7 linked regions of the Callithrix jacchus genome follow. The protein of the gene in region 1 purifies or fractionates together with the protein of each later gene. This does not show direct contact. Links are inferred from orthologs where the notes say so. Each region holds a gene or a part of one and is shown in the gene's direction. Other genes may lie near its edges.

Region 1 (3,500 bases):
TTTGTTTCTAGATTCTGGGGCAGTGTTGATTGTGCTAATGTTGCTACTGAGGCTGATTTTTTCTCTGACAGCCTTTTATACTTCTTGATATCACAGAGAAGAATTCTAAGACACTGCCTGTGTGCAGTGGCTCACACCTGTAATCCTAGCACTTTGGGAGGCCAGGGATTTGAGACCAGCCTGAGCAACATAGGGAGACCCCTATCCCTACTTAATATCAAAAAATGTTGGCTGGGTACGGTATGGTGGTGTGTGCCTGTAGCCTAAGCTACTCTTGGAAGGCCTGGGAGGGTGAGGCTGCAGTATCATTGTGCCACTGCACTTCACCCTGGACAACACAATGAGACCTTGTTTTTTCCTTTCCTTTTTTTTTCTAAAGAGCCTGGGCAATATGGTGATGCCCTGTCTCTACAAAAAATAACTGAGTGTGTTGGCATGCCCACCCCTGTAGTCCCAGCTACTCACGAGGCTAAGGCTGGAGGGTAGATTGTGCAACAGAGGTTGAGGCTGCAGTGAGCTGTGATCATGCCACTGCTCTCCAGTCTGGGCAGCAGAGTGAGACCGTCTTAAGGGAAAAAAAAAATCAGAGACACTGAATATGGTGGTGGGCAAAATGTGGTCAAATAGAGTGTTAGAAATATGTATCTTTTGTCTTCTTTTGGTGCAGGTTTTGCAGACATTGGGCACAGAAACTTACCGGCCTAGTTCTGCCTCACAGTGTGTGGCTGGTATTGCTTGTGCAGAGATCCCAGTAAACCAGTGGCCAGAACTCATTCCTCAGCTGGTGGCCAATGTCACAAACCCCAGCAGCACAGAGCATATGAAGGAGTCAACATTGGAAGCTATCGGTTATATTTGCCAAGATATAGTAAGTGCTTGCCTAATTTACCTGGTTTATATACCTGTGATTGCCTCTAGCTGTGACATGAATGGTATTAGTGTACTACCTTATTGAACAACGAAGAAAGCCAATTGAAACTGCACAATGTTTTGAAAGTAAGACTGATTTATTTCCCTTAGGCCTCTTTCTTCACATTGCTAATCATACCCTAAAGTAAAGAAACCTGAGGACTACAAACTCAAAATGGAAGTCAATGTTTGAAGAAGCTTAGATTCTAGACATACAAAACGAGGAGATTTTCATTTGGAGCATCCCTAACCCAATCCTTTTTCTTAAGATCTTGCATGTACCATGAATGTCATGGTGCATTTTCATTTACTGCTTTACAGAAAGTTTTGTCAACTCTTGATGTAGTTGGTTTAGCCACTGGAGACACAGACGCAGCCCTCCTAGCACTGTTGTTCCTGATGAGGAACACCACCACCCGTGGTGTCTATTTATATATATGTATAGACTTTATGAAGCAAAGGAGCACACAGCATTTGACGTGGACTTAGACTCCCTAGATGTGCCCAGGTATTGATCCTTGGTCCTTAAATGTCCTGAAGCTTTACTTGAGTGTACAGATGGCCTGGCAGCCACCAGGCTGCCATCTTCATTTGCACAGAGGGGGAGAAAGCTAGTATTACCTTATACCCACAGTCATTATGCTAAGAAGTCAAAGATTAAGTTGATGAGTTTGACTTGTTTTTGTTCAGTTTTGAACTGCCAATACCATGGGATACTTTGCAGGTGGTTTGCAGTGCTATTCCCAAATGGAAATGGGTGGGGAAAGACCACCAAGTCATGATACTTTCTTGAGTGAATTTTACAGTTAAAAGTACTGCCGATTAAGCCAGGCACAGTAGCATATACCTGTGGTCCCAGCTACTTGGGAAGCTGAGGTGGGAGGATTGTTTGAACCCAGGAATTTGAGGGCACAGTGCACTGTGATAGTGCCTGTGAATAGTCACTGCATTCCAGACTGGGCAAAATAGTGAGACACTCTCTTAAGAACAGAAAAAGACTGCTTGAGCTCCTTATGACAGTCTTCTGGAGGGGATTGATTCCAAGACCCTCAGGTACCAAAATCCTCAGATGTTCAAATCTGTTACATAAAATAGTGTAATATTTGCATATAACCTATGGACATCCTCCCATATACTTTAAATCAGCTCTAGAATAGTTACAACACCTAATTTAATGTAAATGCTATATTAATAGTTGGTATACTGTATTAAGGAAATAATGACAATAAAATAAAGGTGAATGCACACCTTTTGATGCAGTACAAATGTAACTGTCCATTTTTTTTTCCTCTGAATATTTTCAATCCATAGTTGCTTGAGTCCACAAATGGCTGCAGAGGGCCAACTGTATATTCATTGTACTTCTCTGCTTGTTACAGGACCCAGAGCAGCTACAAGATAAATCCAATGAGATTTTGACTGCCATAATCCAGGGGATGAGGAAAGAAGAGCCTAGTAATAATGTGAAGCTAGCTGCTACTAATGCACTCCTGAACTCATTGGAGTTCACCAAAGCAAACTTTGATAAAGAGGTAAGTTTTTTTGACAAAGAGGTAGATTCAGATAGTAAGGAATGAAAGAGTTAAATGAAAGTTTTTTGTTTTGTTTTCTTAAGTTTATGATTTAGAAAGTACCACCTACTTAAAAGTATTTTGTTTCCTGTTTAGTCAAGTTTGTATTGTGTGAGATATGCCATGGAGTATTTGCCATTCCTCATCATGCTTTTGGAAATAAAGTATTTCTTAGCTTAGGTTTTTCCTTTTGCAGTCCAAAGTGTGGAATGTTGTTGGGTTTTTTTAATTATAGGGTGTGATGATTCATATTTGTAGTCCCAGTTACTTCAGAGGCTGAGGCAGGAGGATTGCTTGAGGCCAGTTATTCAGGCCAGCCTGGATAACAAAGTCACATACCATCTCTTAAAAAAAGAAGCAAACAAATTATGGTATATCCTATATACTTTGTTTTCTTTTAAAATTGCATGAATTTTCTGCCTTTTATTAAAGATTTCGTGGAGGCTGAGTGCCAGGGCTCACATCCATAATCCCAGCACATTGGGCCACCAAGGCAAGAGGGCCAGGAGTTTGAGACTAGCCTGGGCAATGTAATAAGATCCTGTCTCTAAAAAATAAAGATTTCTGTGGAGAGGAACAACTGAGTTTTTAACCTGTTTGGTGAGCTCTTGTGTTTACAGGGCTTATAATGGGGAAAAAAAAAGGAAAAATGAAATAATTATAGCAACATATAGCCGGGTGCTCTGGCACGTGCCTATAATCCCAGCTATTTGGGAAGCTGAGGTGGGGATCTCTTGAGCCCAGAGTTCAAGGCTGCAAGATTGCACCGCTGTATTCCAGACTGGGCAACAGAGCAAGACTGTCTCAAAAAAATAAAATAAATGAAGAGATACATATAAACGTTTTGGCTGAAAATGCAATACATAACATAAAATTTAACCATCTTAATCATTTTTAAATGTGCAGTTAAGTAGATTCACATTGCTATAGAAACAATCTCCAGAACCTTTTTATCTTGCAAAACTGAAACTGTACATATTGAACAACAACTCCTCATTTTCCCCTTTCTCAGTCATTGGT
Region 2 (4,268 bases), on another chromosome or scaffold:
CCCGGGTCTAAAGACAAGGCTTTAGTTAACTTGAATTTGGTATTAGATACTAGCAGGAGTCAATGCCTTCTTTAGATAATTACAGCCTATATTAGTTTGCTAGGGCCACTATAACAAAGAACCACAGATTGGGTGGTTTAAACAACAGAAAAGTATTTTCTCACAGTTGTAGTGGCTAGAAGTCTGAGATCAAGTTGTCAGAAGGGACCAGGCACAGTGGCTCATAGCTGTAATCCCAGCACTTTGGGAGGCCAGGGCAAGCCTATCATGATGTCAGAAGATCGAGACTATCCTGACCAACATGGTGAAACCCCATCTCTACTAAAAATGCAAAAATTAGCTGGGCATGGTGGCGGGCGCCTATAATCCCAGCTACTTGGGAGGATGAGGCAGGAGACTAGCTTGAACCCAGGAGGCAGAGGTTGTAGTGAGCCAAGGTCACACCACTGCACTCCAGCCTGGTGACAGAGCAAGACTCTGTCTCAAAAAAAAAAAAAGTTTACAGAAGAGTTGGTTTCTTAGACCTTTGTTATTTATTGGCTTCTAGATAGCTGTCTTCATGTTCACATGGTGTTCTCCCTCTCTTGTTTTAAGGATACCAGTTATGGATTAGGGCCTACCCCAGTAACTTTATTTACCTTAATTACCTCTTTAGGGACTCTATTTCCAAATTCAGTCACATTTTGAGGTATCAGGGTTTAGGACTTCATCGTATGAATTTGGAGCAGACGATGATTCAGGCATTTTAGGGCCCATACCTATTTTGTATTATCATTGCTAGTTTTTTTGGTTTTGAAAGCTTAGAAAGTGCATGGCAACATTAGACATTTATTCCCTAGAAATGGAAGGTGTAACTTCAGAGACCTATTCACTTTGAGAGAGTTCCTTGTCTAAGAAAACCCACAGAAAACTGGATGCAGTGGCTCATGCCTGTAATCCCAACATTTTGGGAGGCTGAGGTGGGTGGATCACCTGAGGTTGGGAGTTCGAGACCAGCCTGACCAACATGGTGAAATCCTGACTCTACTAAAAATACAAAAATTAGCTGGGCATATTGTCAGGCGTCTGTAATCCCAGCTACTTGGGAGGCTGAGGCGGAGAATCACTTGAACCCAGGAGGCGAAGGTTGTGGTGAGCCGAGATCATGCCACTGCACTCCAGCCTGGGCAACACAGTGAGACTCTCAAAAAGAGAGAGAGAGAGAGACAGAGACAGAACCCAAAGACAGTCTAGGACAGTCAGATGCTAGAAAAGATTTATTCGTATTGTAGATCTTAAAAAATTCATCGACAGCAAGTAAGGGAGTACATAATGGAAAAAGCCACTGGCCTGCTGTTTCCCTGAGATTCCAGATGTGCTTTTGCAGATGTTCCTCCTTCCAATCTAACCTCCCTTGTCTGCTTCCCCAGTGAGGTCATAAGCAAATATTTGTGTTAGTTTCTTGTCACCATGGTGACTAAAGAAGCTCAGCATGGTGCTCCTTCCAGCTTCACTGTCAGCTGTGCTTGAAGGAGAGGCTAGCGTCCAGGACAGCCTAGGCTCAGTCATGAAAAGCCACGTGTCAGGTAAATAGGGGACAGCAGTTCACAGTGCTGCCTTTAGAAATCTGTCCTCTACCATGTTAGTCTCACAGGGATAATCAGGCCTCAAAGGGAGTGCAGTGGCACAGACACAGCTCACTTATAGCCTCAACCTCCTGGGCTCAAGTAATCCTCCTGCCTCAGCCTCCCAACTAGCTGGGACTGCAGGTGTGTACCACCATGCCAAGATAATTTTTGTATTTTTTGTGGAGATGGGGTTTCACCATATTGCTCAGGCTGCTCTGGAACTCCTGGGCTCAAGCAGTCTGCCCACTTTGGCCTCCCAAAATTCTGGCAATATAGGCTTGAGCCCAGGCTACAATGCCAGTTTAAAAAAAAAAAGAAAAAGATTATTCCAACCTGGCCAACATGGAAAAACCCTGTCTCTACTAAAAATAAAAAAGTTAGCTGGGCATGGTGGTGGGCACCTGTAATCCCAGCTACTCAGATTACAAGAAACTCACTCAAGAAAATCACTTGAATCCAGGAGGCGGAGGGTACAGTGAGCTGAGGTCGCACCACTGCACTCTAGTCTAGGTGACAGAGCAAGACTCTGTCTCAAAAAAAAAAAAAAACTTCGTGGTAAAATGTATGTAACAAAATTTTTCATTTGAGTGTACAATTCAGTGGCATTAATTACAATTACACTGTTATGTGACCATCATCACCAATATCTATTTCCAAACATTTTACTGCCTCTAACAGAAATTTTTTTTTTTTTTTTTTTTGAGACGGAGTTTCGCTCTTGTTACCCAGGCTGGAGTGCAATGGCACGATCTCAGCTCACCACAACCTCTGCCTCCTGGGTTCAGGCAATTCTCCTGCCTTAGCCTCCTGAGTAGCTGGGATTACAGGCACGCGCCACCATGCCCAGCTAATTTTTTGTAATTTTAGTAGAGACGGGGTTTCACCATGTTGATCAGGATGGTCTCTATCTCTCATGATCCACCCGCCTCGGCCTCCCAAAGTGCTGGGATTACAGGCTTGAGCCACCGCGCCCGGCCCAGAAATTCTTTACCCACTAAGAAATACCTCCCTATTTTCCTTTCCTCTCAGCACCTGGTAACCTCTAAGCTACTTTCTGTCTCTGAGTTTGACTCTAGGGACATCAAGTAAGTGAAATAAGATTTGTCCTTTTGTGTTTTGCTTATTTCACTTAGCATGTTAATTTCAAGGTTTGATCATATTGTAGCATGTATTAGACCTTCATTGCTTTTTATGGCTGAATGATATTCATGGTATACATATACAGTAGTCCTTTTCTTATCCAGAGGGAATATATTTCAAGATCCCCTGTAGATAGCTGCAATGGCAGATGGTACCAAACCCTATATACTATGTTATTTCCTATACATACATACCTATGACAAGGTTTAATTTATAAATTAGGCCCAACAAGAGATTAAAAACAATAATAAGAGAACAGTTATAACAGTATGCCAGCATCATCACTCTTACACTTTGTTAAGTAAAATAAGGATTACTTGAACACAAACCCTGCAATATCTGCTACGAGCTGGCAGTGTATATAGTGTGGATACACTGTACAAAGAGATGATTCATGTCCCAGTTGGAATAGAGCGGGTTAGTGTGAGATTTCATTATGCTACTTGGAATAATATGAAATTTAAAACTTATGAATTGTTTATATCTGGAAATTTCCATTTAATATTTTCAGACCACAATTGTCTATGGGTAACTGACACTTTGCAAAGCAAAACTGTGAATAAGGGAGGAATAGTATAAGAGTACAATTGCTGGATTATATAGTAGTTACGTTTAATTTTTTTAGAAACCACTATTCTGTTTTCCACAGTGGCTGTACCATTTTCCATTCTTACCGGCAATCTACCAGGTTCTAGATTCTAGCCAATGTGTGCTTTTATTATTTTTATTCCATCCTAGTAGGTGTGGATTAGTATCTCATTGTGGTTTTTAAAACTTTTTTTTTTAAAGATGGAGTTTTGCTCTTGTTGTCCAGGCTGGGGTGCAATGGCGTGATCTCAGCTCACCTCAACCTCCGCCTCCCAGGTTCAAGTGCCTCAGCCGCCTGAGTAGCTGGGATTACAGGTGTGCACCACCATACCCGGCTAATTTTGTATTTTTAGTAGTGGGGGGGTTTCTCTATGTTGGTCAGGCTGGTCTCAAATTCCCGACCTCAGGTAATCAGTCTGACTCGGGCTCCTGAAGTGTTGGGATTATAGGCGTGAGCCACTGTGCCTGGCCTAAAACTTTTTTATTTATGTTTTTCAATCAGCTTTCTCAGGTTGAGTCATTGTAACTCTACCTCCTGAGTTCAAGTGATTCTCTTGCCTCAGTTTCCCAAGTGGCTGGGATTACAGGTGCCGGTCACCGCCACACCCAGCTAACTTTTGTATTTTAGTAGAGACGGGGTTTCACCATGTTGGCCAGACTGGTCTCAAACTCCTGACCTCAAGTGATTCACCAGCCTCGACCTCCCAAAGTGCTGGGAGTACAAGCATAAGCCACCGTGCCCAACCTTGATTTGTATTTCTCTAAGGACTAATGATGTTGAACATCTTCTCATATGCATATTGGCCATTTATATATGCTTTTAGAGAAATGTCTATTCAAATTGTTTACCCATTTTTAAATTGGGTTGTCTTTTTGTTCAATTGTAGAAATTCTTTATTCTGGATGTTAAACCGTAATCAGATACGTAATTTG
Region 3 (4,156 bases), on another chromosome or scaffold:
CTAATTTTTTGTATTTTTAGTAGAGACGGGGTTTCACCATGTTGACCAGAATGGTCTCCATCTCTTGACCTCGTGATCCACCCGCCTCGGCCTCCCAAAGTGCTGGGATTACAGGCTTGAGCCACCGCGCCCGGCCCACCCTTTCTCTACTTAAAAATACAAAAATTAGTCAGGCATGGTGGCACTCATCTGTAATCCCAGCTACTTGGGAGGCTAAGCCATGAGAATTGCTTGAACCCAGGAGGTGGAGGTTGTGGTGAGCCGAGAGCATGTGATTGCACTCCAGCCTGGGCGACAGAGCAAGACTGTCTCAAAAAAAAAAAAAAAAGAAAACCCAGAATAAAGGGTCTTACAAAATAGGGAATAGTAATAATAATCCACTTATTATTATTACATGAAGCTACATGAATGCGTAAGATCTTGGAGGAAGACAGCAGAGAGAGATTAAAGATCCCAGGGTTAAAAGTTGGAGAGATTTCACTGTACATCATCCAAAAAAGGAGTCCATGATGGAGGCAGAGACACACTTGGAGAGGTAAGATACCCTGACAACATGGGGAGTGCTTTGTGGCAGGCTCTGAATAGAAGAAATTCAGCCTGGCCAACAAGGCGAAACCCCGTCTCTAATAAAAATACAAAAATTGGCTGGGCATGGTGGAGCGCACCTGTAGTCCCAGCTACTCGGGAGGCTGAGACAGGAGAATCGCTTGGACCTGGGAGGTGGAGGTTGCAGTGAGCCAAAATCGCTGCCACTGCTCCAGCCTGGGCGACACAGGAAGACTCCGTCTCAAAAAAAAAAAAAGACTGGGTGTTCATATACATGTGAGATGTGCCTCCCTCAAACCTTGTTAAGACATGGGCACATACCCACGGGGAAAAAAATCTGGTCATGCCATTCCCGTGCCCAAATCCCCATATTTCCCCACGACCTCAGGATAGAGGGAACAAGCCCTCCTAGACTTAACTTGGAAAGCCGTTTTTAAGCCCCAGGCTGAGTCACATGCCCCTGTGGGTATCCGTGTCATAGCGCTGTGTGGTTGTTGATAGATTTCTCATCCTTCTCCATGGACACCCTCTTGAGGGTAGGGAAGATGAGTATCTTTTTTCTTCTTACAGACCCTACCGCACCAGATTTTCCTAAACAGACACGAATTCAAGAAGTTTTTTGGGTTGTTACCCCGCTTGTCCCGATTTGGGGTTTCCAAAATACACACCCACTGGAACCCGGGCCAGGGGAGCCAGCCTGCCCAAGAGCTCCCCGAGCCCGGGAGCGCGCCACATGCAGATCGCGGGATGGCCGCCAGGGGCCGCCGGGCTCTTTGTTTTCCTTTCTCGCCCGGGTCGGGGCCAGAGGCCTGCAGAGCGCATGCTCTGGGGCAGTTCGGGCCGGGCGGGGAGCGCTGGAGTTCCTTGGGGCCGACGTGCAACGAGGTAGGTCTCGCTACGGACCCGCGGAGGGTCCGGGCGGAGGGTGGCGCGTGGGGCGGCCGCAGGCGAAGCACGGGCTGGTCCACGCGGGACTAGGTCGCTGCCCGCTCTAGGCCCTGTCGCGCGGCGCCGGCCCCACGTGAAGCCCGGCTGCTGGAAGGCGCGGTGCGGGCTCACGATTCCTTGGCCCCGCGGGACGCTCGGACGGCCGCTGGGCTCCGCCTCGCGGAGCCAGGGCCGCACTGCCCCTCCGCCGCCGCGCCTCTCACGCCCGCGCCGCGGCGCCCGCGCAGGCGGGAGATTCAAACGGCGCGAGCGCGGTGGTCCGGGTGCGCGCGGCCGCTCGGGCAGGGGCTGCGTCTCTTCCGCGAGGAGGGTGGTTTTGTCTGGCATGCGCTTGAAGAAGGCGGTTTGCAAAGCGGGGAGGGCGCCCTGCCCGGAAGAGGTTGGGTGGTGCTGCGGCGAGAGAAGCCCCAGCGTCGGCGGGCACCGCTGTGGACCCTTGGGAGCCGTGTGTCTCGAACTCTGCAGCAGCTCAGTCTGTCAAGCAAATTATTTGTTGGCCATCTATTCCGTGCTGTTCTTGCGGGGCTGGGGGACAGTAGTGACAAGGGCGGGCTCCCGTCGCCCTCCTTACCGAGCTCTGGGGTTCCTTGGAGAGACCTCATGTGGGTCCAAAGTTAAGGTCCAGTGTGATCAGCGAACTATGCCCTTGAGCCCGGGCGACGGACGCTACTAGGGAGTCATTCATTCATCAGATATTGACTGAACTCCTCCATCCACGTGTGACTTGTGTGCCCTAGCAGAAGTTGAGTATGTGGGATGTTATGATAATCCTCACGGGAAAGCCCACCCTGCCAAGGAGGCTCAGGTCTTTCCAGGTGAAGTGACTCTTGAACGGGGTTTTGAAGGAATAGGTTTTTCAGGCAGCTTGAGGATAGTGGGATTAGGGTGATTCAGGCAGAGGGACAACACGTGCAAAGGCATGAAGGAATAGTTATTGTGGTCAGTTACCATAGGTCTTGAGGTGACCGGAGGAGGAGAGTAGCAAGATGATACAGCAGGAGCTAGGTCACGAAGGGTCTTGTGTGCAAGGCTAAGGAACAGGGAGGGGGTGGAGGAGGCAGGGAAGGTTCCCCCCAAAAAGCGCATCAGAGTGAAACCTGGACAGATGAATTAGGAGTTCACAAGGCTCCTGTTTCAAAGACATTCCCAGAGGAGGAATCCTGTTCTGTTGTTCACCTTTACAGCTTTCTCATCAGGTGCCCCTGGGCAATCCACCCAGACCCCCTGAGCATTGGTTTTCTTTTCTGTAAAGTGATGAGGGGGGCGCATGTGGTGAGGATGACTAATATTCTTTAATTGTTTTTTTCTGATACAGAATCTCCCTCTATTGCCCAGGCTGGAGTTCAGTGTTGTGCTCTCGGTCACTGCAGCCTCCGCTTCCTGGGTTCAAGCAATTCTGCCTCAGTCTCCCAAGTGGTAACTTTCATAAAGTAGTGATTCCAACGGCTAGTGGAAGTTGTGGCTCCCTTCCCCCAGGAAAAATAAACACATAGGCCCAGGCACAGCTTGTATACAACGAGGATCCCTGGTGAGAAACTCCTAGTGTAAAATATGCCAGCTCTGTGCCTGGCATAACAGCACCTCAGCAAATGTATGTTGTTGACACATCAGCCCTCTCCTCCTCTCCTGGGGACCTTTCACACAAAGAGATTTTTCAGCCTGAGTCTGGCAGGCAAGTTCTATCCCCTGGCATGGGGGACAGAGGGCACAGCTGCAGTGGCCTGGGAGGGCTCTGTCTTCTTTTATTGAAATGAGGCTGTGGTGAGGTCAGGGCAGGAGCACAAGGCTCTGGGTAGACTGTCTAGACTGGCGTGCCTACCTGCTTTCTTCAGCAAATAAGGAAAGTGAGCTGGAGGAGGGCGGCTCTGGCCCTGGTGGGGCGTGATCATGAGACTGGGGTTTCGTTCCAGGTGACCCACCAGGGTCTCATCTTCCCTGAGCCTCCTCTTCCCCTTAGCTGTAAAACCAGGATGAGTCCGCTCACCTCAAGGTCAGCTGTGGACATTCTGGAGTATCTGTGGTGGAAGGTGATTCTGTAGCCAACTTATCGGTGACTATATCACTCTTTTCCCAGAGTATAAGCTCCTTGAAGATGGAAGCTGTGTTGGGTGGGGCTGGGCGGGGAAGCATGACAGCAAAAGCCAACTCCTTATTCCCAACCCAGACACTCACTGCCTGGTTAAGCAAACACAGCCAGAGAGGCCAGGCTCGGTGGCTCACACCTGTAATCCCAGCACTTTGGGAGTCTGAGGTGGGCAGATCACAAGGTCGAGAGACCATTCTGGCCAACATGGTGAAATCTTGTCTCTACTAAAAATACAAAGATTAGCCAGGTGTGGTGGTGTGCACCTGTAGTCCTAGCTACGCGGGAGGCTGAGACAGGAAAATCGCTTGAACCTGGGAGGCAGAGGTTGCAGTGAGCCGAGATCTCCCCGCTGCATTCCAGCCTAGTGACAGAGTGAGACTCCGTTTCAAAAAAGCAAAAACAAAACAAAAACAGCCTGGCATGGTGGCACGTACCTGTAGTCCCAGTACTAGGGAGGCTGAGGCAGGAGAATCGTTTGAACCTCTGAGGCAGAGGTTGCAGTGAGCTGAGATCGTACTACTGAACACCAGCCTGGGCAACAGAGTGAAGCACTATCTCAAAAAAAAAAAAGATAGA
Region 4 (4,188 bases), on another chromosome or scaffold:
CTGACCTCAGGTAATCCACCAGCCTCGGCCTCCCACAGTGCTGGGATTACAGGAGTGCGCCACCACGCTGACCTGTGTCATTCTCTAACCCTTGCCTCCCCTTTAAAACCTAACAATATCTTTTTTTTTTTTTTTTTTTTTTGAGATGGAGTTTCGCTCTTGTTACCCAGGATGGAGTGCAATGGCGCGATCTCGGCTCACCGCAACCTCCGCCTCCTGGGTTCAGGCAATTCTCCTGCCTCAGCCTCCCGAGTAGCTGGGATTACATGCACGCGCCACCATGCCCAGCTAATTTTTTGTAATTTTTAGTAGAGACGGGGTTTCACCATGTTGACCAGGATGGTCTCGATCTCTTGACCTCGTGATCCACCCGCCTCGGCCTCCCAAAGTGCTGGGATTACAGGCTTGAGCCACCGCGCCGGGCCTAAAACCTAACAATATCTTAAGAACGAAAGCATTTGCTGGGCGCAGTGGCTCACGTCTCTAATCCCAGCACTTTGGGAGCCCGAGGCTGGTGGATCACCTGAGGTCAGGAGTTCGAGACCAGCCTGGCCAACCTGGTGAAACCTCGTCTCTACCGAAAATACAAAAAGTAGCCGGGCGTGATGGCGCCTGCCTGTAGTCCCAGCTGCTCGGGAGGCTGAGGCAGGAGGGAATGACAGGGCCTGGGATGAGGGATCGCAAGCTGCTGGGGAGAAAGGCGCTCAGAGGCTGCCGAGCCTGTGGACTCCCTCAGCGCGGAAGCCACGGGGCTCGTTCCCCCAGCTGACGGCTGAACACGAAGGGATCTCAGTGTCTGAAAAGACACAAGGCGCCCGACGCAAAAACACGTGTCAGTCGTCTGCTGAACGACGAGGGGGTCCTTTAACGGGCGGTCCACACGGCCCCTCCCAGCGCCGCGACGCAGCCCCTCGGGGCCCCCCCGGCTGCGAACCGCCAGCACGGACACCTGGGCGGGGCCGCCTGACTTGGGAAGCGACTCCCGAGGGTCGCGGGCGGCCTGTCCTCAGCCCTAAAGCTCCCACACGCGGACACCGCAGGCTTCGGACACGTTCCACCGACTGACCTTCCTAGCCGGAGCTCCTCGCGCATCGCCAGCCCCTCAGCGGCGACTAGCGCAGGAACAGCCTAGAAGACGCACAGCCAGCCCCGCTCGAGCGAGCGGACAGCTCAAGCCGCTGCGTTGACAGCCGACGCCGCTATTAAGGTCGGCACATGCGCGCTTGCGCGAGATGGGCGCGCTCCGCCCCACGCGGGTTTCCAGGGAACTGGGCGCATGCGCCGCGTGAGGGGCCCGGCGGGCGGAAGGCGGTGCTGCGGCTGTGTCTCCGGCGCGCTTGCGCAATAGCTGAACGCGGGCGTTTCTTTCCTCCCTTTTTTTTCGAATTGCTTTTGGGGGTAGATTCGAGTTACAAAATGGCCGCCCGGAGCGTGTTCCGCGGCGTTCCCCCAGCGGTCTCCGGCTGAGCCGGCGCTGTCGCCTCCCTGCCGAACACAGCGTGAGGGGCCTCCCCCGGGGATATGGTGTTTGTGTCTCAGGGCTTGCGGAGCACCGAGTCCTCTGAGAGCCGCAGTGCAGCACCGGAAGCGGCCGAGCGCGCACAGCCGGGCCACCACCAGCCGCTTCAACACCCAGCGCCGCCGCGCCCAAGACCAAGCTAGTGCTGCGGCCGCCGCTTGGCAGGTAAGATGCGGCTGCTGGCGCCAGAGGGAAACGGGCTGAGGGCGGGAGCCTGGTGCTGAGAGCCCAGGGCCGGGAGGGCGGGAGCGGGCTCGGGCTCGGGCCTGGGTGGGGAGTGCGAGTGCGGGGCTGGGGACTCTCGGGAGGGGAGTGCCGGTCCAGGACTGGGGAACCGGACCCTGGGGATGCGGATGGGGGTTCAAAGGCGGGGGTGGGACCCTGGGGAGAGAGAGGAGCCGGGGAACGGGACCTCGTGGAGTGGGACGTGGGTTCAGGGCCGGGATCCTAGGTAGGAGGGTGCGGGGCCGGGGGACCGGACCCTGGGAGGGGCATGCGGGGCTGGAGAACCGGACCCTGGGGAGCGGGGTGCAGGGCTAGGGGCGGGAACCCTAGGGAGGGAGCCGTGGGTCGGGCGCGCGGGCGGGCGGAGGGTGGGGTGGGATGACAGCGGCGGGGCTCGGGCCTCCCCGGGCTGAGGCGCTGGACTGGAGTGAGGCTCGCCCTTGGGCCCCGGCGGAGGTAAGGGGCTGGCGGGGGCGGTCTCGGCTTGGTCGTCTCCGTTTCCTTCCTTGCGATTCCTCTCGATTCTTCTCTCTCCCTGGCCCCCCCTCGTCTCTCTTCTCCTGGCCCCATTACCTCTCTGGCCTGCCTTCGCTTTCTTTTTTGTTTTTTGAGACGGAGTTTCGCTCTCGTTACCCAGGCTGGAGTGCAATGGCGCGATCTCGGCTCACCGCAACCTCCGCCTCCTGGGCTCAGGCAATTCTCCTGCCTCAGCCTCCTGAGTAGCTGGGATTACAGGCACGCGCCACCATGCCCAGCTAATTTTTTGTATTTTTAGTAGAGATGGGGTTTCACCATGTTGACCAGGATGGTCTCGATCTCTTGACCTCGTGATCCACCCGCCTCGGCCTCCCAAAGTGCTGGGATTACGGCGTGAGCCACTGCGCCCGGACGTAATTTTTGTATTTTTAGTAGAGACGGGGTTTCACCATGTTGACCAGGATGGTCTCGATCTCTTGACCTCGTGATCCACCCGCCTCGGCCTCCCAAAGTGCTGGGATTACGGCGTGAGCCACTGCGCCCGGACGTAATTTTTGTATTTTTAGTAGAGACGGGGTTTCACCATGTTGACCAGGATGGTCTCGATCTCTTGACCTCGTGATCCACCCGCCTCGGCCTCCCAAAGTGCTGGGATTACGGCGTGAGCCACTGCGCCCGGACGTAATTTTTGTATTTTTAGTAGAGACGGGGTTTCACCATGTTGACCAGGATGGTCTCGATCTCTTGACCTCGTGATCCACCCGCCTCGGCCTCCCAAAGTGCTGCGATTACAGGCGTGAGCCACCGCGCCCGGCCCTGGCTTCGCTTTCTTACTGCGTTCCCGGGTCATCGATCACTCCTTTGCTCAATTCCATTAAGAAACAGTTTGGAGATTTGGTATTTCTGTCTCCTTGGTTGGTCCCCTTGTTCTCTTCCTCCAACAAGGCACCTCACTATTAAATATAGCCAAATCTGTGTTTTCGTTTTAAGCTGATGTTGACAAGTTCAGCTTCAAGGGCAGAGCGGCATCGATGCCAGAGACCACGTAACTATATCAGGCACATGTAATGTTTTGTCCAGTTTACCTAGTCTACTACCACATTGCTTCATCCCTAGCAATCATGTCAAACTTGGTGTGTGTGTGTGTGTTTTACCCACAAGCACAAACGTTTTTAAAATTTCCTTTTATTGGTTGTTTGAGATTCCGGTCACCAGGCCAGAGTGTAGTAGTGGCTCGCTGTAGCCTCAACCTCCTGGGCTCAGGTGCTTCTCCTGCGTCAGTCTTCCAAGTAGCTGGGACCACATGTGTGCTCCACCTTGCCCGGCTAAGTTTTTATTTGTATTTATTCATCTAATCTATGTCTCTGAATTTTTGTAGAGACCAGGTAAGTTTCCAACTCCTGGCTTTCAGTAATCCTTCGGCCTCCCTTAAATTTTTTATAATAAGAGCTAGATTAAGACTGTCCAGGTGACAGCCTTGTTTCTGAATAGGTTACAGAGTGTTATATTTTTTTTTCCACTTCTAGCATAAAAGGAAAATGTATTGTCTGACGTGTCATGCTTTGAAATAAAATAGGGATTTGGTAGAATGTTTTTAAAAGTCTGATTTGTAATCCAGGTTATTCTTCCATGCTGCAGTGCTACAGCTTTCAAGTTTTGGACGGAAGATGGTAGTTCATAGCCTTTGCTTCTAACTAAACTTGTTTTTTAAATAATTCATTAAGCCCTTCCTCTGTTCCAGGCACTGTTTTGTTGTTGTTGTTTTAGACGAGTCTCACTCTGTCGCCTAGGGCTAGAGTGCAGTGGCGCAATCTTGGCTCACTGCAACCTCCACCTCCCAGATTCAAGCGATTCTCTTGCCTCAGCCTCCTGAGTAGCTGGGACCACAGCCACCCACCACCACGCCTGGCTAATTTTTGTATTTTTAGTAGAGATGGGGTTTTACTATGTTGGCCAAGCTGGCCTCG
Region 5 (4,083 bases), on another chromosome or scaffold:
GAGACTCGAAACCAATATGTAATTTTCAATACGTACCTGCCTTTGAGTGAACCTTCAATGCCAACTAGGAAGGGCGCTTCCAAAACGATGTTATTTGTAACTCCTAAAAAGACAAACATGGGTCAGAACCCAACCTCTCCGGGCCTTGAAACGGAAAAATATCAGGCAGGCGCGGTGGCTCATGCCTGTAATCCCAGCACTTTGGGAGGCCTGAGGCAGGCGGATCACGAGGTCAGGAGTTCGAGACCACCCTGGCCAACATGGTGAAACCCCAGCTCTACTAAAAATACAATAATTAGCCGGACCTGGTGGCAGGTGCCTGTAATCCCAGCTATTCAGGAGGCTGGGGCAGGAGAATCGCTTGAACTTGGGAGGCATAAGTTGCAGTGAGCCGAGATCACGCCACTGCACTCCAGCCTGGCGACAGAGCGAGACTCTTGTCTTAAAAAAAAAAAGGAAAATCTCTCCTATAGACAGACTCATCCTCGCCATAAACATCAGGAGACTCCCCGGCTCCCTGCCCCATCCTCAGGTCACGAAGTTATTGCCTCAAATTTTCATCCCGTTTTCTTCCCCCGGTGGTTCTCCTCCACCGATGGAGAAAGCGGAACAGCCTCTCGGGCTCGTCTCTACCTTTCCCGAATGCCGCATTGCACTCACTGGAGAAGACCACGGCCCCGAGGGATCGCGACAGGTCCCAGGCGAGATGCACCGAATCGGCGAGCACCGCGTGGCACTGTGCGCACTGGAACACAGCGCACCGCTCAGGCTGCAGCCAAGACGGTAGCTGCTGGCCGGTGGCCAGCTCCTCAGCCTCCAGCCCCGCGGGGCCGAGCGGCGAGGACCCGTTCACCACGTGAGTATCCCACTCCATGGAGGTCGTAAAAGAAGCTTCGTCAATCGTCCTCTCAGTGCCATCGCAAAAGTCAACCTGGGGTGGCCTTGCACGCGGCGAAAAACGCCGCCGGGGCTGAGCCGCCATCTTCCTGCAGCCGGCGCCTCCGTTTCGAATACACGCTAGGCCACGCCCCAAGCACAGCTCCTGCGTCCTCATTGGACATCGTGGGCAGCGGGGTCTGCTCTGCGCTGGTTACCTGCACACGCCTTGCAGGCACTTCAGGCACCCGCGCATTCCTGAGATGTGGGAAAAGCGCGCGTCTGATGGGACGGGAAATCAGCCTTTCTATTGGTCAGGGTTAGAAATCCCGCCTTTGGGGCATTTTCAACCAGTGGAAGCGCGGCATTCTTCATTTTTTAAACTGTATGTAAATTTCTGTTTGGTCAAAGCTGGAAGTGGAGCCAGGGATTTCAACTGTTCTACCGGAGTTGTGTGATCCGTCTTCTGAGTATCGCCGGAATTTCGAATCGCGATGGTCGTCCCCTCCCTAGAGGAGCTGGACTCCCTCAAGTACAGCGACCTGCAGAACTTAGCCAAGAGTCTGGGTCTCCGGGCCAACCTGAGGGTATGGTGCTGGCGGTGCAGGCCCCTGGGCGGGATCCGCGGGAATAGCGGCCTTGGGGAGATGTGGTGCGAAGGGATAGAGCGGGAAGCCCGGGGCCGAGGCGGCTGTCCCTGCCCCTCGAGCTGTAGATGTAGTTCACGGTGGTCCCAGTTAGAACTCAGCGAAACGGAAAAAGAACTGTAGTTTTCACCTCATTTTGAGGCTGGCTGCTCTTGGTGTTTTTGCTGGTTTGTTGTTTTGTTTTGTTTTTGAAATTATACCTCTCAGGGCATTGATGACGAAACGCAGGCCCAGAAAGCCCTGTTGTTAATCGTTAGACAGTTAAATACGTAATTGGCTTAGCTGCTAGAAAACTCCCCAACAGTTAGACTTCAGTGATTTGTAATATTGCCGATCATTTCTTGATGCTTTGTTGGTGGACCTGTCAGGGAAAAAAAAACAAAAAACGACTTTTAGAGGACCACCTCCATGGGTGAATTTTTATAACTCAGCGCTGATCTAGTGTAATCATGTACTTATTGATGACTACTGTGGCGATGGTCTCGTTCAAAACCAGTAAGGTCTTTGACTCCAAGGCTGCAAGATGTTTTGGAGAATTGGCCGGGCGCGGTGGCTCGCACCTGTAATCCCAGCACTTTAGGAGGCCGAGGCAGGCGGATCACCTGAGGTCAAGAGTTGGAGACCAGTCTAGTCATTAAAAAATGAACCAGGCGTCGAACGCTGGAGCGGACGTTTAGCCGGGATCATGCAACTGCACTCCAGCCTCAGGGACAGAGCAAGACTCTATTTCTCAAAAAAAAGAAGAAGAAGATTTGGGCATTCAATGTTGGATTGCAGTTTTATATACTTTCTTAATAGTTGAGACTTTCCACTTAATACTGCTGTATACTCTGGAGTTTTGTCCTGCAGGCTATGATACTGACACTGAATAAATGCCTAAATCAGTCATCACAAACGTTTTTAAATGGTTTAAATAAAATAATTAGAGCCTAGGTGCCTGTTGGGGCTGAATGACCAAAGGGTTGTCCTTGGGGATATTTCTGAGCAAGAGTGGCTAATGGCTCCCCTATAAATTCCTTAGGCCTTTTTGCTGCCTGGCTGGAGTCTTTTATCCAAGGCTGTATCCCTGAACACTTGGCACTTTTATCCATCTTTGTGCAATTGCTTATTTTGACCCTTTGGCCTCAGATCCCCTTCTCTCTCCTTTATCTGCCTGGCTAATTGTGTGTGTGTGTGTGTGTGTGTGTGTGTGTGTGTCTGTATTTTTAGTAGAGATAGGGTTTCACCATTTTGCCGAGGTTGGTCTTGAACTCCTGAGCTCAAGTGATCCTCCAGCCACGGCCTCCCAAAGTGCTGAGATTACAGGCATGAGCCACCACACCTGGCCCATATCAAGTATTTATAGGTAAAATGTCATGATAACTGCAAAATTTGCTGTAAAATACTCGAGGAAAAAGGGAGAAACTAGGTGAAGAATAGCATAATGTTAATAATTACTGAAACTGGTGATAGGTACATGGGATTGTACTATTCTCTCCAGTTTTGTAGGTTTGAAATTTTCCATAATATGTTTTAAATTACTTCCTGTTGGTACATCCCAAGAGCTCATTAAGTCAATTGCCTTTTGAAATCTAGTACATAGCAAAAATATTAATAAAATTCTCTGAGAAATTATCAAGATTTCATGAAAATGAAACAACACAATTTAAATAAATTTTACTAGTATGATATTTTTAATAATTTTGTGACTGGGCATGGTGTCTTCTGCTTATAATGCCAGCATTTGGGAGGCCAAGGCAGGTGGATCACCTGAGGTCAGAAGTTCAAGATCAGCCTGGCCAACATGGTGAAACCCTGTCTCTACTAAAAATACAAAAATTAGCTGGGCGTGGTGGCCAGCACCTGTAATCCCAGCTACTCAAGAGGCTGAGACAGGAGAATTGCTTAAACCAGGGAGGCGGATGATGCAGTCATGGGAGATCTCACCATTGCACTCCAGCCTGGGCGATAAGAGCAAAACTCCGTCTAAAAATACTACTACTACTACTAATAAATTTATAGGAGAGAATATTAGCTCTTTCTTTTGAGAGACTTCTCTTAATGGTAAAGAAAATTGAAGAAACCAGTTATTAATGTTTGTGTGGCCACTGGACCTTTTCTCAATCATGTCCTCACTTCCTTTCTTGTGAGCTTAAATTACAAATACTGGCACTATTTCCACTTCCTTGCACCTCCCTCTACTCACCTGGCAAAACCGAAGCCTGATTAAACCCAGCTATGTGCTTAATCTTTGCTTATATGTCTGCAGCTAACTCTAGCTGGAGAAAAATACCTAACTTTGTTGACTGAGCTAATTTTAGATATATGACTGTAAACCTTAAAATGAGAATTTGATCCTCCTCCCCCCCCACCCCCAGAGATAAGGTCTCGTTCTGTTGCCCAGGCTTCAGTGGCATAATCAGGGCCCACTGCAGCCTCAATCTACCAGGCTCAAGCCATCCTCTCCCCTCAGCCTCCCAAGTAGGTGGGATTATAGGCACGTGCCACCATACCTGGCCCATTTCCTTGTTAGTCATGAACTTTCCTACTTTTGATACTTCTTATCTTGACTCAACTTGGC
Region 6 (4,270 bases), on another chromosome or scaffold:
GCCCACCTCAGCCTCCCAAAGTGCTGGGATTACAGGCATGAGCCACTGTTCCCAACCAGAAAGATGACCATTAAACACTGACAACCGAACATGCTGGAAAGCATGTGAAACAAGTGGAACTTTTATACATGGCTAGTGGGGATAGCAAAATGGTACAACCACTTTGGAAAACTGCTTGGTGATTCCTTATAAAGTTAGACACACCCATAACCAAGGGTGATGGCGCTCACCCATTCAGCTATTCAAGAGGCCAAGGCTGCAATGAGCTATGATTATACCTTTGTACTCTAGCCTAGGGGACAGAGAGACCCTGCTTCAAAAAAAAATTTTTTTTTACGTTAAACATACCCAGAATGACCCAGAAATTCCACTCCAGTATTTCCTCAAGAGAAATAAAATATGCCCACAAGGACTTGTACAAGAATGTTTACAGCAACTTTGCTCATATTAGCCAAAAATTGAAAGCAATACAAAGCTGTCCACTGGTGAATGTATAAAGTCCTCAATGGAATGCCTCTCAGTAACAAAAACTACTAACTTCTGGTTCATGCAGACCCAAAAGAGTACCTATCACTTTCATTTTTATGGCATTAGAGATAGAGGAGTGGTTGCTGATGCGGTGGGAGAAGGATTGGAAAGACACAGGCCACTCTTCTGAGTGGTGGAAATGCTGTATGTCCTGATTGGGTGGTAGTTACACAGGTGTTTACATTTACCAAAGCTCATCAAATTGTCGATTGGGGGAAAATACTATTATTTTCACTGTACAAAAACTTCACCTCAACAAAAAAATGGACTAGAAAAGAAATAAAGGGGGAGGGGTGCTGGTGACGTTGAAAAGCAACACTAAATGATGTAAGGAGATAACCGGGGTAAGCCTTTTGTTTAAAATGTCTAGTAAACATTCCAGGAAGGTCTGCTGGATTCTGTGACTAAACAAGAATATTAAAAAGCCCCTGAATCCAGCGTGGGCAACGCAGTGGGGCCCTGTCTCTACAAAAGTTTTTAAAAGTTAGCCCGCCGTGGTGGTGCGCACCTATAGTCCCAGCTATCCAGGAGCCTAAGGTGGGATAATGGTTTGAACCTGGGAGGTCCAGGCTGCAGTGAGCAGTGGCCCACTGCATGGCTCCCTGCATTCCAGCCTGGCGACAGAGTGAGGCCTTGTCTCAAAAAAAGAAAAAGAAAGAAAGAAGAAGCATTGCGAGCTTTGGGGGAGATTCCCGCAGCCCAGTTTTGCCAGGGTCCCAGCATCACCTCTCGGGCTCTGCCGCCCACTCTCGCACTTCACCTGACAGGTGCGCCCCCACCGCTCCACCCCTTCTCATACCGCATCGTCGTCCCGCCTTTTTTCCTTCCGCACCCATCTTTTGAACCATCCCTTCACCTTTCAATCAATTCAAATGTCGCACGGAGCAAACCAATCGCAAGCCTCGTCGAGTGGAAGGGGCGGGATCTTCCCCGGAAGTGTTTGTTAAAGTCCCTCCAATCAGAGGCTTGGTGCAGCAAGTTTGAATTTCGTGGAGGCTCGGGTTGTGAGGATTCCTGCTTCGGAGTTGGCGGTGGTCGTCCAGATCCTTACTTTTTGTTTGAGGTTTCACGCTAGAAGGTGCCTCAGGTAGGTGGGTCTAGAAGGGTCTAAGGACCGGGGGCTGCGAGCGGGAGCCAGTCAGAGGCAGGCTCCTCTAGGACTGTGTTACCTTGCCCTTTCGGAAGCTGATAAAGCGAGTCTCCAGAAGAGTCAGTCTGTTTGCCGTGACCTATCTACTAGTCAGCGTTTCACCACCGGGGCGTAATTGGCATTTGGGGTGAAATTATTCTTTACGTCGAGGGACGTTTAGCATCCCTAGCTCCGACAATAAATTCCCGTAGCTCTTCCCAGATACCATGACGACTAAAAACGCCCGATTGAGAACCTCAAGTCATGCAAAATTAACGCAGTCTAGACTTGCAAGCCGGAGGAAACGCCACTCAGCCAAACAAAATTTAGGTGTTTGTCAAGAGCCAGGCTGCCTGGCTTGGGATCCCAGCTCCACCAGCTTTTAACTATGCTAAAGTGAGCAGTTAATTTACCCCATCTGTTCATGAGAGATAATAGTAACCGCCTTTCAGGGTTATTCTGATAATTATACCTTTAATGTTCTCGCTCTTTCTCTCTGTTGCTGTGGATAGTGCTATCCCCTATTTAAAATAACTAATACATAAGCCTTAGTTGTTCTTCAACATTTACCAAATTAATACTGCCGGAGATAAATAGTGGAAGAGAGTTCTTGATAAAAAGTACAGTCAGTTGACATGCAGGTCAGACAGAGTCTCTTTTTTTTTTTTTTTGAGGTGGAGTTTTGCTCTTGTTGCCCAGGCTGGAGTGCAATGGCACAATCTCGGCCCACCGCAACCTCTGCCTCCCGGATTCAAGTGATTCTCCTACCTCAGCCTCCCAAGTAGCTCGTATTACAGGCACCCACCACCGTGCCTGGCTAATTTTGTGTTTTTAGTAGAGATGAGGTTTCTCCATGTTGGTCAGGCTGGTCTCAAACTCCCAACCTCAGGTGATCTGCCCGCCTCTGCCTCCCAAAGCGCTAGGATTACAGGCGTGAGCCACCACACCCAGCCCAGATTCTCATTTTTTATACTTTGTTGATTGCTTAGAATCGTGTAACAATTTATTGCATTTCTTGTGCCAATTTTTCCATTATCTGGAGTTTTCTAGTAGATTTAGTTCTTGTTGAAGATTATACCATAGTGTGTCTATCACAGAACCTTCCCCCATCCCCCCCCCCCCCTTTTTTTTTAACTGCCAAGACTTCTGAGAATCAGTACCCTTTCTCCAGTTTGGCTTGGTGGTTTTCTGTACCAGCTACACTGGTGACCCCCTCAAACTCCACTTTTCTTTGTTCTCCCCAGTTGGATCCACTGACATCGTCTTTATTGTCCTCTTTTGTTTTGCTTGAATATAGATCTTTCCTAGAAAAAGGTTGTGCCAAGTAAACTATATGATCTTGTGAGTGTGCATGTGTGTATGTATGGCTTTTCTTTTTTTAAATTTATAGAGACGGGGTTATGCTATGTTGCCCAGGCTGGTCTTGAACTCCTGGGCTCAAGCAGTCCTCCCGCCTCTGCCTCCCATAGTGGTAGGATTACAGGCCTAAGCCACCAGGCGGGCCTAAACTATATGATTTCTTGTTCTTGTATGGATGAAAATAATGGAGCAAAGTGATACGGTTATTGTGAACTATATATTTGGTCTTGTTCTGTTTTCTGGAAAACGCCTAAAATCCTTGGATATCTTTTTGTATGCTAATGATTGACAGATGGCTGGAGGCCTCTAAGTAGCTTCAGGATTGGGGCTGGTCACTAGACAGACCAAGCCAGGAGTAGAGAGTTGGGACTTTCAGCCCCACCTCACAACCTCTGCGAGGTGGGGGGAGAGGAGCTGAAGGTTGATTTGATCACCAATGGCCAATGATTTAATCACTCATGTGTATGTAATGAAGCTGACATTTTAAAAAAAACAAAAAACAAAACCTGGGTTTTGAGAGCTTCTAGATAGGTGAACACATGCAGGTTCCTAACCAGCAGTGCTACCTGAGGGAGCATGGAAGCTTCTTGTTCATTTCCACATACCTTTCCCTGTGCCTCTCTATCCAACTATCTGTGTCCAGTTGCCTGTTGATTGTTCCTACATGACTAGGAGGCACCTGGTGTGGGGTTTTTGTTTTTTTGGCTTTTGAAGAAATGTTAGACTACCTGCATTCATCATCATGGGTAAGGAAACCATTCTATACACAGTTCTTCACTTACTTACCCTATTCATCTATAGTTCATGCTTTTCTTTTTGCGGTGTTCTCTATGGTAAGCCCAGAGCCTCTTTTATTCTGTACTATAGCTTCTTGGCTTTCTCTTCATCGGTCAAGCAAGTTCCTATTTAAAACTCCCAAATCGGTTGTAGCTTCCTATGCTCTGATAATCTCCTTCCCACTTATCAGTGTTACATACTTATTTCATTGTGCATTTTCATATTTTATTTCAGAAGGCCCTGAAGTGGGACAGGAGATGAACTGTAATCTTAATTTTTTAAATAATGAAAATTCATGTAAGTTGGGTTTTGTGCTTTTCCTTGACAGGATGTCTTCACATTTTGCCAGTCGACATAGGAAGGATTTAAGTACTGAAATGATTAGAACCAAAATTGCTCACAGGAAATCACTGTCTCAGAAAGAAAGCAGACATAAGGAATATGAACGAAATAGACACTTTGGTTTGAAAGATGTAA
Region 7 (3,500 bases), on another chromosome or scaffold:
CCCGAGACTGTTCTCTGCAGGGGAGGGGCGCAGAGTAGTGAACGTAGGTCGTATAGGTCTGAGGTTAAGGTTATGTTTCTTATTTGTTATTACCAAAAGTTATATGAAATTTGGTATTTGTTATTACCAAAAGTTATATGAAATTATAGAGCATTAACCTGTAAAAAGATAATGCAGTTTATTTAATGTTCTTGCTTTGTTGTTTACCTTAAAATTTTTTTCTTCTTCTTGCTTGCTTTTTTTTTTTTTTAAGAGATGATCTTGTTCTGTTGCCCAGGCTGGGGTGCATTGGTGTGATAACATAATGACTCACTGCAGCCTCAGCCTTCCAGGGCTCAAGTGATCCTTCCACCTCAGCCTCCTGGGTAGCTGGGATTACAGGCACTTGCCACCATGCCCAGCTAATTTTTGTGTTTTTTGTAGAGACAGCGTTTTGCCATATTGCCCAGGCTGGACTCAGATTCCTGGGCTCAAGCAGTGTGCCTACCTTGACCTGGGATACAGATGTGAGCCACCTCGCCCAGCCTTATTCCAGTATTGATCATTGTCTGCATCAGTGCTAGTGATGTTGCTGTTGGGAATGGTGTTGCATTGGCTACTTTAATTACCTATGTCTGAACATATTCCTATGTTTTTTTCTTTTTTTTTTTTTGAGACGGAGTTTTGTTCTTGTCTCCCAGGCTGGAGTGCAATGGTGCAATCTCGACTCACTGCAACCTCCACCTCCTAGATTCAAGCAATTCTCCTGCCTCAGTCTCCCAAGTCTCTGGGATTACAGGCACTTGCCTCCATGCCCAGCTAATTTTTGTGTTTTTTGTAGAGACGAGGTTTTGCCATGTTGGCTAGACCAGTCTCAAATTTCTGACCTCAGGTGATCTACCCAGCTCAGCCTCCCAAAGAGCTGGAATTACAGGCATGAGCTGCCACACCCAGCCATGTTCATGCATTTCTGTAGGATGAAGTCCTAGAAGTAGACAACACTGTTCTGTTTATTCAGTCTCTCCTAGCCAAGGAGTTGGAACAGGTGGCATCTAGGGAACAGATGGATTTGACAGTTTCATTGGTTTAGGGATTGTTTCATTTGATACTTTATTATCCCCTCCAAATCTCTTTCAGACTTTGCAGGAAAAAAAAGTCATTCCTTGTCCTCCATTTTATGAGGCAGATCATCCTGTCAGAGGTAACAACTGCTTTTCTTATTGGGCTGACCTCTAACGATGTGTTACGTGTATTGCAGAAATTCATAATCATGTGATGTACCTGCCCAGTGAGGTGTTGCTGCTTGCTTCCTGAATAATGTCACTATTTCAAACAGCTAATTAAGTCAGTGTAAATTATGGCCCTCTGGTGACATCTGTGTTTCATGGTAAATGACATGAAATGGATCCTGACTTTTTGTTACAGTTCTTCATAATTTGCCCTGATTATAATCAAGCAGAAAAATTACCATTTGAGGATGAGTTTGGGCTTCTTGGGTCTTTGTACCTGTGAATTATATTAATCAATGAAATCTGGGCCTTTGTTAAAGCTATAGTATTTTGATTTTTTTATTCGTCATATATGTTATAGTTTGCAGTAGCTATTCCAAACGTGAGATGCTTTTGGCTGTATCTGGTTGCTGTGATTTTTATGACCTGCTGATTAGGGTGTGTCTTTCAGTTCTGGATGTGCTGTGGATTGGTACATATGTCTTCACAATAGTGTATGCTGCTGCAGATGGGACCCTGGAAACATCTCCAGATGTGGTTATGGCTCTACTACCGGTATGCATGTGAAAGAAACATCATTGTTTAAGAATTAGAGAAGTCTTCCAATAAAGCTGGAGGCTTTGATTTCAAGATTGGGTGTGTGTGTGTGTGTGTGTGTGTGTGTGTGTGTGTGTGTGTTGAGACAGGATCTCACTCTGTTGCCCAGGCTGGAGTACAGTGACGCAGTCTTGCCTCACTAAAGCCTGAACCTCCTAGACTCAAGTGATCATCCCACCTCTCAACTTTCTGAGTAGCCGGTGCTACAGGTACACACCACTATGCCCAGCTAATTTTTGTAATTTTTTTTTTTGTAGAGATGGGGTTTTTCCATGTTGCCCAGGCTGGTCTTGAACTCCTGAGCTGAAGTGATCCACCCACCTAGGCCTCCCAAAGTACTGGGATTACAGGTGTGCATCACCACACCTAACCTGATTTCAGGTTCTTTTACTTACTGGCAGTGATTATGCAACTTCAGGTATAAGGTTTCCATGCTGTACCGTGGGCCTGCAGTCCAAAATTGGAGTGTTCACTTAAAGTGTTCTACTGTTTTGTTATAAGGTTAAAAAGGTAAATGATTTTGCTTAAGCTATAAACTCTGAGTCTTGGTTAGCTTGATAAAGAAATTTTAGAAAGCAAGACAGTATCTTGATTTTTAAAATTATTTCATTTGCCCTCAAATATTTAATGCCAACAGTGTGCTAGGGGCTGCTTTAAAGTTGACTGTATAGCAGTGATCAAGGTTATGGCCTTGCTTTTATGGTCTACATTTCTTTGTTGTTGTTTTTAATTTTTATTTATTTTTGTCTCACTCTGTTGCCCAGGCTGGAGTGTAGTGGTATGATCAGAGCTCATTATAGCCTCAAATTCTTGGGCTTAAGCCATCTTCCTGCCTCAGCCTCCTGAGTAGCTGGGACCACAGGCATGCACCACCACATCCAGCTATTTTTAAATTTTTGGTGGAGATGGCGTCTTGCTTTATTGCCGAGCCTGGTCTTGAACTCCTGGCTTCAAGCAGTTCTCCTGTCTCAACCTCTCAAAGTGCTGGGATTACAGGCCTGAGCCACCACACCTGGCTGGTCTTACATTCTAATGTGATAGTTAATAATTAAGTGTGAGATCAAGGACTGATCAGAGTGATGGAGACAATAAAGCCGTGTTAGGATAGATGATGACTAGTGTGTGCTTAAGATTGGGTGGTCAGGGGAGGACAATTTGATATTTGAAAAGGATGTCTTGTTTTTAACTCTTTTGGGTTTTAAGGTTGAATTTTTAAAATACGTTTACCTAGATGCCTTATTTTAAGTTATAATTAGAGGTTTTTTTTATTCTGGGCGATAATATTAACACTAGTATTTATTAACTGCTATTTATGTTTTATGTACTGGGCTTGAAGTTTTATATATATCATTTCATTTCACACTTAAAAATAGCCTCTGAAGTAGGCTTAGTAGGTCTAGTATACACATGAGAACAGTAAGTATCAGGAAGGTTAAAAAATCTGCTTGTCTCATGGGCAGAAAGTGGAGGAACAGAGTTTAAATGCAGTTCGGTTGAGGCCAATGTTTGTATTCCTTGTTCTAAATGCTGCCTTTATACCATGTCCTCATATCTATACTTAGACTTTGAGTGAATATTCTTATAAAACTTTAAATGATTTATCATTTGATATTCTTGTACTATAGGATCTGAGAAAAATTGCACATGAGAATTTTTTTCTTGGTTTATTTATTGTAGAAAAAAGAAGAAAAGCAC

Evidence for each region.
Region 2: the proteins of KPNB1 (region 1) and KPNA6 purify together in Homo sapiens (affinity purification with mass spectrometry; 4 studies listed by BioGRID and IntAct, with this or other methods). This does not show direct contact. The link is inferred for Callithrix jacchus from reciprocal best matches to the Homo sapiens genes KPNB1 and KPNA6.
Region 3: the proteins of KPNB1 (region 1) and RCC1 purify together in Homo sapiens (affinity purification with mass spectrometry; 3 studies listed by BioGRID and IntAct, counting the BioPlex papers as one, with this or other methods). This does not show direct contact. The link is inferred for Callithrix jacchus from reciprocal best matches to the Homo sapiens genes KPNB1 and RCC1.
Region 4: the proteins of KPNB1 (region 1) and NUP50 purify together in Homo sapiens (affinity purification with mass spectrometry; 4 studies listed by BioGRID and IntAct, counting the BioPlex papers as one, with this or other methods). This does not show direct contact. The link is inferred for Callithrix jacchus from reciprocal best matches to the Homo sapiens genes KPNB1 and NUP50.
Region 5: the proteins of KPNB1 (region 1) and NUSAP1 purify together in Homo sapiens (affinity purification with mass spectrometry; 3 studies listed by BioGRID and IntAct, counting the BioPlex papers as one, with this or other methods). This does not show direct contact. The link is inferred for Callithrix jacchus from reciprocal best matches to the Homo sapiens genes KPNB1 and NUSAP1.
Region 6: the proteins of KPNB1 (region 1) and DLGAP5 purify together in Homo sapiens (affinity purification with mass spectrometry; 4 studies listed by BioGRID and IntAct, with this or other methods). This does not show direct contact. The link is inferred for Callithrix jacchus from reciprocal best matches to the Homo sapiens genes KPNB1 and DLGAP5.
Region 7: the proteins of KPNB1 (region 1) and NUP214 purify together in Homo sapiens (affinity purification with mass spectrometry; 3 studies listed by BioGRID and IntAct, with this or other methods). This does not show direct contact. The link is inferred for Callithrix jacchus from reciprocal best matches to the Homo sapiens genes KPNB1 and NUP214.

What each region holds. Positions count from the first base shown.
Region 1 is NC_133506.1:118,641,086-118,644,585, reverse strand, and holds part of KPNB1 (importin subunit beta-1), read left to right. Parts: intron 1-667; coding exon 668-868; intron 869-2,288; coding exon 2,289-2,441; intron 2,442-3,500.
Region 2 is NC_133508.1:68,747,175-68,751,442, forward strand, and holds the start of KPNA6 (importin subunit alpha-7), read left to right. Parts: upstream 1-1,468; 5' UTR 1,469-1,471; coding exon 1,472-1,565; intron 1,566-4,268. UniProt on the Homo sapiens protein: Functions in nuclear protein import as an adapter protein for nuclear receptor KPNB1. Binds specifically and directly to substrates containing either a simple or bipartite NLS motif.
Region 3 is NC_133508.1:65,179,976-65,184,131, forward strand, and holds the start of RCC1 (regulator of chromosome condensation), read left to right. Parts: upstream 1-1,356; 5' UTR 1,357-1,431; intron 1,432-1,806; exon of another isoform or gene 1,807-2,309; intron 2,310-2,809; exon of another isoform or gene 2,810-3,022; intron 3,023-4,156. UniProt on the Homo sapiens protein: Guanine-nucleotide releasing factor that promotes the exchange of Ran-bound GDP by GTP, and thereby plays an important role in RAN-mediated functions in nuclear import and mitosis.
Region 4 is NC_133502.1:215,202,934-215,207,121, forward strand, and holds the start of NUP50 (nuclear pore complex protein Nup50), read left to right. Parts: upstream 1-1,388; 5' UTR 1,389-1,684; intron 1,685-4,188. UniProt on the Homo sapiens protein: Component of the nuclear pore complex that has a direct role in nuclear protein import. Actively displaces NLSs from importin-alpha, and facilitates disassembly of the importin-alpha:beta-cargo complex and importin recycling.
Region 5 is NC_133509.1:45,265,340-45,269,422, reverse strand, and holds the start of NUSAP1 (nucleolar and spindle-associated protein 1), read left to right. Parts: upstream 1-1,283; 5' UTR 1,284-1,370; coding exon 1,371-1,463; intron 1,464-4,083. Other genes in the region: OIP5 (protein Mis18-beta), read right to left, coding at 37-103, 634-982. UniProt on the Homo sapiens protein: Microtubule-associated protein with the capacity to bundle and stabilize microtubules. May associate with chromosomes and promote the organization of mitotic spindle microtubules around them.
Region 6 is NC_133509.1:89,761,185-89,765,454, reverse strand, and holds the start of DLGAP5 (disks large-associated protein 5), read left to right. Parts: upstream 1-1,470; 5' UTR 1,471-1,615; intron 1,616-4,121; 5' UTR 4,122-4,122; coding exon 4,123-4,270. UniProt on the Homo sapiens protein: Potential cell cycle regulator that may play a role in carcinogenesis of cancer cells. Mitotic phosphoprotein regulated by the ubiquitin-proteasome pathway.
Region 7 is NC_133502.1:179,784,267-179,787,766, forward strand, and holds part of NUP214 (nuclear pore complex protein Nup214), read left to right. Parts: intron 1-1,116; coding exon 1,117-1,180; intron 1,181-1,659; coding exon 1,660-1,763; intron 1,764-3,482; coding exon 3,483-3,500. UniProt on the Homo sapiens protein: Part of the nuclear pore complex. Has a critical role in nucleocytoplasmic transport.